Linked DNA regions of Macaca mulatta. The protein of the gene in region 1 binds, or shares a complex with, the protein of each later gene. Links are inferred from orthologs where the notes say so. Each region holds a gene or a part of one and is shown in the gene's direction. Other genes may lie near its edges.

Region 1 (3,566 bases):
GAGCTGAGATCCGGCCACTGCACTCCAGCCTGGGCGACAGAGCGAGACTCCGTCTCAAAAAAAAACAAAAACAAAACAAACAAAAAAAAAGAAGTAACTGGGGTCTCAGAGCCTTTCTCCAGGAGATGAGTCATCACCAGGAGGAGAGATTTGCACACTGGGGATGAGCTGGACCCTGGCAGAGCAGAGAGTGACCAGACCAGATCTGGGCCCAGGCCCCTCATTTGCCACTGCTGTCTCTTTGACTTACCCATCCGATGCCAGCTTTGCAAACGGGCGGTCCACGGGCCTTGTGCTGGACAGTGGGGCCACCCACACCACGGCCATTCCAGTACATGACGGCTACGTCCTGCAGCAAGGTGGGGCTTCGGCAAGGGGCAGGGGCGCACCAGGAGGACGAGATCCTGACACTGCCTTCCTTCCAGGTATCGTCAAGTCCCCTCTGGCAGGGGACTTCATCTCCATGCAGTGCCGGGAGCTGTTCCAGGAGATGGCCATTGACATCATCCCACCTTACATGATCGCAGCCAAGGTGGGGCCTCTGGGGACACAGAGCTGCCACTAGAGTCCTGGCCACTCGCCCCATGGCCGTCAACCCGCTGACACACGAGATATCAGAGCAGAGAGCAGCAGGCTCCCCAGTGGGTCCTGGCTCCAGTTTCTCCTTATATAAGTGAGGCATCTGAAATCCAGACAGGCTGAGGGATACGCTGAGGTCATGGAATCAGCTAGCAGACAGCAGGATGTGTGAGGGCCAGTGTGGTGGGTTCTAGGGTTCAATATAAACCCAGGTTCAAGTTCTGCCTCTGCCGTGCAAGAGCTGTGGGACCGGCCGGGCATGGTGGCTCATGCCTGTAATCCCAGCACTTCGGGAGGCCGAGGCAGGCAGATCACTTTGAACTCACTTCGAGACCAGCCTGGGCAACATGGTGAAACCACATCTCTACTAAAACTACAAAAACTAGCCAAGTATGGTGGCACATGCCTGTAGTCCCAGCTACTCAGGAGGCTGAGACTGAAGAATCACCTGAACCCTGGAAGCAGAGGTTGCAGTGAGCCGAGATCGCGCCACTGTACTCCAGCCTGGGCGACAGAGTGAGACTCTGAAAAAAAAAAAAAAAAGAGCTGTGTGACCAATAGCATGATATCAAAGCTCCCTGGGCCTCAGTTTCCTCTTCTGTAAAGTGGAACGGTAATAGGCAGTAGCCAGGGTGCTGTATGAAGTGACACTGTGTGCTTAGCTCCGTCCTGTGCCCTCACGTGGATCGCGGCCCCCTAGGAGGCCATTCTCTGGAGATTCTGTCACTGCTGTATTCCTGGTGTTCTCCAGGTCAGCTGTATCCACTGCATGAAGGGCACACACGGAGAGAGAGGCATGCCCCATTCTCTCTCCTGTCCATCAGGAAAGGGTGAGAAACCCTCTTGCAGGCAGCACAGCAGAGCCTCCAGTGCCAGTTAGCTGCAGAGCTGGGAACAGTGCCAGGAAGGTGGGGTAGGGGTCAGGGTGGGCTAAGAAAGGGTGTTCCTACGCTTTGTCCCCACAGGAGCCTGTCCGGGAGGGCGCCCCCCCAAACTGGAAGAAGAAGGAGAAGCTCCCCCAGGTCTCCAAGTCCTGGCATAACTACATGTGTAATGTGAGCCTCTGGAGAGGGTCCCCTGAAGCCCCCTCCCCTGCCGTGAATGGGGGCGAGGCAGGGGCCTTGCATGGGAGGTGGAGCAGGGAGGGGGAGCTGGGCGGGGGGTGTTGCTCAGGAGGAACCCAGGCCCTCATCACCCTCACTGGGATTTCAGGAGGTGATCCAGGACTTCCAGGCCTCCGTGCTGCAGGTCTCAGACTCCCCCTACGATGAACAGTGAGTGTGGCTCAGGGCTGGGGGGTGGGAGAAAGGGCAGAACTGGGACTCCTGGGGTGGGCTGGGGGACTCTGGTGCTGTCCACCCACTGATCCCTCTTGAGCACCCCAGGCAGAGTCCTGCTCCCTTCTGGGCAGGGTGGCTGCACAAATGCCCACAGTGCACTACGAGATGCCCAATGGCTACAACACAGACTATGGCGCCGAGCGACTCCGCATCCCCGAGGGCCTCTTTGATCCCTCGAACGTCAAGGTTTGGCTGTGTGGCAAGGACTGGGGTGGGTGCTGGCTGCAGTCCTTGGATCCTGGGGCGTGGGGGAGGCTGGGAAGGATTGCAGGGACTGGGGGAAGGGGGAGAGGGCCCACAGCCCCAGTCACCTCTCTCTGCAGGGCCTGTCGGGGAATACCATGTTGGGTGTGGGCCACGTGGTGACCACCAGCATCGGCATGTGTGACATTGACATTCGCCCGGTGAGGCCAGGCCGGAGCTGAGGCTGGGCAAAGGGGCCCAGGGGAAGTGGGAAGGCAGGGTTGGGGGGCTGTCCCCCGTGGCTCACTCCTTCTTCCTGCTCTCAGGGCCTGTATGGGAGTGTCATTGTCACCGGCGGGAACACACTGCTGCAGGGCTTCACTGACAGGCTCAATCGAGAGCTTTCCCAGAAGACCCCACCGGTAGGAGCCCACCCCTGACCCAGTGCCCCAGAAGCCCATCCTGGCTCAGCTGTCCAGGACTGAGTCCCCCATTCTTCCCATGTCCTTCCTTCTGTTCTGTCCACCAGAGCAGAACCCCTGCCCCTGAGGCTTCCCAAGTCTTCCCCCTGCCCCCCAAGCCCTGTCCCTTCCCAGAACCTAGGTGTCTGCTTCCCCCAGCCCCTTTTTACCCCCAGAGCATGCGACTGAAACTCATTGCCAGCAACAGCACCATGGAGCGCAAGTTCAGCCCCTGGATTGGGGGTTCCATCCTGGCCTCACTGGTGAGAGGAAGGGGACCTGGCCTAGCACTGACTGTGGGGGACAGGGGAGACCCAGACAGCGCCCGCCACTTTGCCTGCCTCTTCATTCATTCATTCATTCATTCATTCAACGAACATTTATTTTTGAGAAATGTCGGTCAATGAATGTTCCCAGAAAGGTGAACAGGACACAAATTGGGGGCAGGGGCCCAGTACAGTGACCCGCACCTGTCATCCCAGCACTTTGGGAGGCTGAAGTGGGAGGATGGCTTGAGGCTAGGAGTTCAAGACCCAGCAGGGGAACATAGCAAGACCCATCTCTACTTTTACAAATTGGGGAGAAGAGGCCGCGCACGGTGGCTCATGCCTGTAAACCCTGCACTTTGGGAGGCCGAGGCGGGCGAATCACTTGAGGTCAGGAGTTCGAGACCAGCCTGGCCAATACGATGAAACCTTGTCTTTACTAAAAATACAAAAAATAGCCAGGCGTGGTGGTGTATGCCTGTAATCCCAGCTATTCAGGAGGCTGAGGCAGGAGAATCTCTTGAACCCAGGAGATGGAGATTGCAGTAAGCTGAAATCGTGCCACTGCACTCCAGCCTGGGTGACACAGTGAGACTCTCTCTCAAAAAAAAAAAAAAAAAAAAAAAGGAGTAGAGGGACAGGTAGTTGGAGAGATTGGTCAGGATGAGATTTTGGTGAGACACCCACTGTGTTCAGTCAGCAGAGGGGAGACCCTGATGGTTTGGGGCAGGGAGTGA
Region 2 (3,566 bases), on another chromosome or scaffold:
GGCCCACAGACAGGTAGCTCTTGACGGAGGTTCCCCGGAAGAGCGAGGGGTCGAGCTGCCTAGAATCTGTCCTGCTTTCCAGGCAGCCCATCTGGACCGGCTCGGGGATAGAAATTCGGGTTTGGTGTGAAGCAGCTCTTTCCAACTCTCTGGGCTCTTGTTTTAAAAGAAAAGCATTCTTCATCTCTCATTCCATCTCCCCACCTCGCATCGTGTTGTGGATTGTGGTGGTGTCAGACCTCTTCCCACTGGGGTGTTACTCTGGGGCCTTTCTTTTCCCGAGTGAGGACCAAGGTGTCCCCGCTGGTCGTGCTGTATTGTAGTTGCTGGTGCTGCCCTGAGCACTACCCTCTGCCCCTGAGCCAGTGCGCCTGGGGCAGATTAGTCTAAATCAGTCCCTTTGGAGGCTCTACCCAGCAGGACTTGTAAGTAAAGCACTCAGTCCAGATTGCCCTTTTGGAAGAGGCCAGCATTCGGTAGTAGTGAGTTTGACACCTTGCTTTTCCCACCTCCCGCATGCGAGGACCTTGATGTGCTGCATCCACTTGGCTGGCTGCTGTGTGCCACCGCCACCAGCAGAGTGACCCAGTGATGTCTGTCTGTTACAGATCACGGATACACAACTCTAGCCACCAGTGTGACCCTGTTAAAAGCCTCGGAAGTGGAAGAGATTCTGGACGGCAACGATGAGAAGTACAAGGCTGTGTCCATCAGCACAGAGCCCCCCACCTACCTCAGGTAATGCGTTCCTGGCCAAGGCATCTCTGGGGACATCTGTGGGGTCTTTTCTCAGACTCAAGAACTGGTTGGGTTGAAGTTAAATTGAAACACCTTTTTTTTTTTTTTTTTTTGAGATGGAGTCTTGTTCTTGTTGCCCAGGCTGGAGTGCAGTGGCACGATCTCGGCTCACTGCAACCTCTGCCTCCCAGGTTCAAATGATTCTCCTGCTTCAGCCTCCCAAGTAGCTGGGATTACAGGTACCTGCCACCACACCTGGCTAATTTTTTTTTTTTTGAGATGGAGTTTCACTCTTGTTGCCCAGGCTGGAGTGCAGTGGCATGATCTCAGCTCACTGCAACCTCCACCTCCCGGGTTGAAGCGATTCTCCTGCCTCAGCCTCCCGAATAGCTGAGATTATAGGCATACGCCACCATGCCCAGCTAATTTTGTATTTTTGGTAGAGATGGGGGTCTCTCCATGTTGGTCAGGCTGTTCTCGAACCCGACCTCAGGTGATCCGCCCGCCTCGGCCTCCCAAAGTGCTAGGATTACAGGTGTGAGCCACCACGCCTGGTCCTAATTTTTGGATTGAAACACTTTTTAACCGTTCCCTCTGTTTTTGTACATTTTCTTAGCCAGATTTCTAAGTTTCTTCTGTATCATTGAAATTTGTAAGAAACGTAAGCCAAGTCCTGGATTCCAGGGAACAGTTATGAATGCTTGGAAAGCGGGACTCTGCGAGGCACAGTGGCTTACGCATGTAATCCCAGCACTTTGGGAGGCCGAGGCATTGCTTGAGGCCAGGAGTTCAAAACCAGCCTGGGGCAACACAGCAAGACCTCATCTCTTAAAAAACAAATAAGTGGGACCAATTTGTCAGAAAAATTAGTGACTCACATAAACTCACAAAAGAAACAACAATAGATTTGAATGTATAAAAACTTAGAACCTGGTTGGGAGTGGTGGTTCACGCCTATAATCCCAGCACTTTGGTAGACCGAGGCGGGCAGATCACCTGAGGTCGGGAGTTCGAGACCAGCCTGACCAACATGGAGAAACCCTGTCTCTACTAAAAATACAGAATTAGCCAGGTGTGGTGGCGCATGCCTGTAATCTAAGCTACTCAGGAGCCTGAGGCAGGAGAATTGCTTGAACCCGAGAGGTGGAGATTGCAGTGAGCCAAGATCGCACCATTGTACTCCAGCCTGGGCAACAAGAGCGAAACTCCATCTCAAACAAAACAAAACAAAACAAAACTTAGAACCTTTAGAAGAGTATTTATAGGCCGGGCGCGGTGGCTCAAGCCTGTAATCCCAGCACTTTGGGAGGCCGAGACGGGCGGATCACGAGGTCAGGAGATCGAGACCATCCTGACTAACACAGTGAAACCCCGTCTCTACTAAAAATACAAAAACTTAGCCGGGCGAGGTGGCAGGCGCCTGTAGTCCCAGCTACTCAGGAGGCTGAGGCGGGAGAATGGCGTAAACCCAGGAGGCGGAGCTTGCAGTGAGCTGAGATCTGGCCACTGCACTCCAGCCTGGGTGACAGAGCGAGACTCCGTCTCAAAAAAAAAAAAAAAAAAAAAAAAGAAGAGTATTTATAGTAACAATTAAAAAAGCAAGTAATTGGAAAGTTACAATGTTATATCTAGAATCTATACATCTAGATTTATACAACGAACTTGGATACCTCAACAAATAGATAAAAGATGGTCCATACCTTCAAGTACAAGGGAGTAAACAAACATGGAAAGAATTTGCCCTCGTGTAATTTCAAAAATTCCAACCATAAGACTGAGCATGGTGGCTTATGCCTGTAATCTCAGCACTTTGGGAAGTCAAGGCAGGAGGATCACCTGAGTCCAGGATTTGACTCTGTTGCCCAGGAGACCAGCCTGAGCAACATAGTGAGACCTTATCACTACTGAAGGTTAAAAAAATTAGCTGGGTGTGGTGATCACACCACTCTCCTCTAGCCTGGGTAACAGAACGATACCCTGTCTCTTAAAAAAAAAAAAATAGGCTAGGCATGGTGGCTCACGCCTGTAATCCCAGCACTTTGGGAGGCTGAGGCGGGCAGATCACCTGAGGTCAGGAGTTTGAGACCAGCCTGACCAACACAGTGAAGCCCCATCTCTACTGAACATACAAAATTGGCCGGGCATGGTGGCGCATGCCTGTAATCCCAGCTACTCAGGAAGGCTGAGGCAGGAGAATGGCGTGAACCTGGGAGGCGGAGCTTAACCCAGGAGGCAGAGGTTGCGGTGAGCCGAGATCGCACCATTGCTCTCCAGCCTGGGCAACAAGAGTGAAACTCTATCTCAAAAAAATAAATAAATAAGGCTGGGCGCAGTGGCTCACACTTGTAATTCCAGCACTTTGGGAGGCCGAGGTGGGTGGATCACGAGGTCAGGAGGTCGAGACCATCCTGACTAACATGGTGAAACCCTGTTTCTACTAAAAATACAAAAAAATTAGCCGGGCGTGGTGGCGGGCGCCTATAGTCCCAGCTACTCAGGAGGCTGAGGCAGGAGAATGGCGTGAACCTGGGAGGCGGAGCTTGCAGTGAGTCAAGATTGCGCCACTGCACTCCAGCCTGGGCGACAGAGTGAGACTCCGTCTCATAAATAAATAAATAAATAAATAAATAAAATAAATAAATATAAAAATTCCAAGCATAAAACAAAAAACTGGCAATGTAAGGAATTGGGGAAGGTGTGATGGAGCTGCGCTCATGTGTGCTGGAGGTGCTGGGATTACAGGTGTGAGCCACCGTGCCCAGCCAGGAGTGCCCTTTTTGTAAAGCATCCTGACATCAAACTTTTTTGTTCTCTGGCCCACTAATACC

Evidence for each region. The genes of interacting proteins can lie anywhere in the genome.
Region 2: ACTL6B (region 1) and SMARCB1 share a complex: the UniProt entries of both Homo sapiens proteins name them as parts of the BAF complex. The link is inferred for Macaca mulatta from reciprocal best matches to the Homo sapiens genes ACTL6B and SMARCB1.

What each region holds. Positions count from the first base shown.
Region 1 is NC_133408.1:47,852,071-47,855,636, reverse strand, and holds part of ACTL6B (actin-like protein 6B), read left to right. Parts: intron 1-264; coding exon 265-359; intron 360-425; coding exon 426-532; intron 533-1,544; coding exon 1,545-1,634; intron 1,635-1,791; coding exon 1,792-1,853; intron 1,854-1,990; coding exon 1,991-2,105; intron 2,106-2,242; coding exon 2,243-2,323; intron 2,324-2,428; coding exon 2,429-2,524; intron 2,525-2,722; exon of another isoform or gene 2,723-2,739; coding exon 2,740-2,826; intron 2,827-3,566. UniProt on the Homo sapiens protein: Involved in transcriptional activation and repression of select genes by chromatin remodeling (alteration of DNA-nucleosome topology).
Region 2 is NC_133415.1:27,973,324-27,976,889, forward strand, and holds part of SMARCB1 (SWI/SNF-related matrix-associated actin-dependent regulator of chromatin subfamily B member 1), read left to right. Parts: intron 1-608; coding exon 609-738; intron 739-3,566.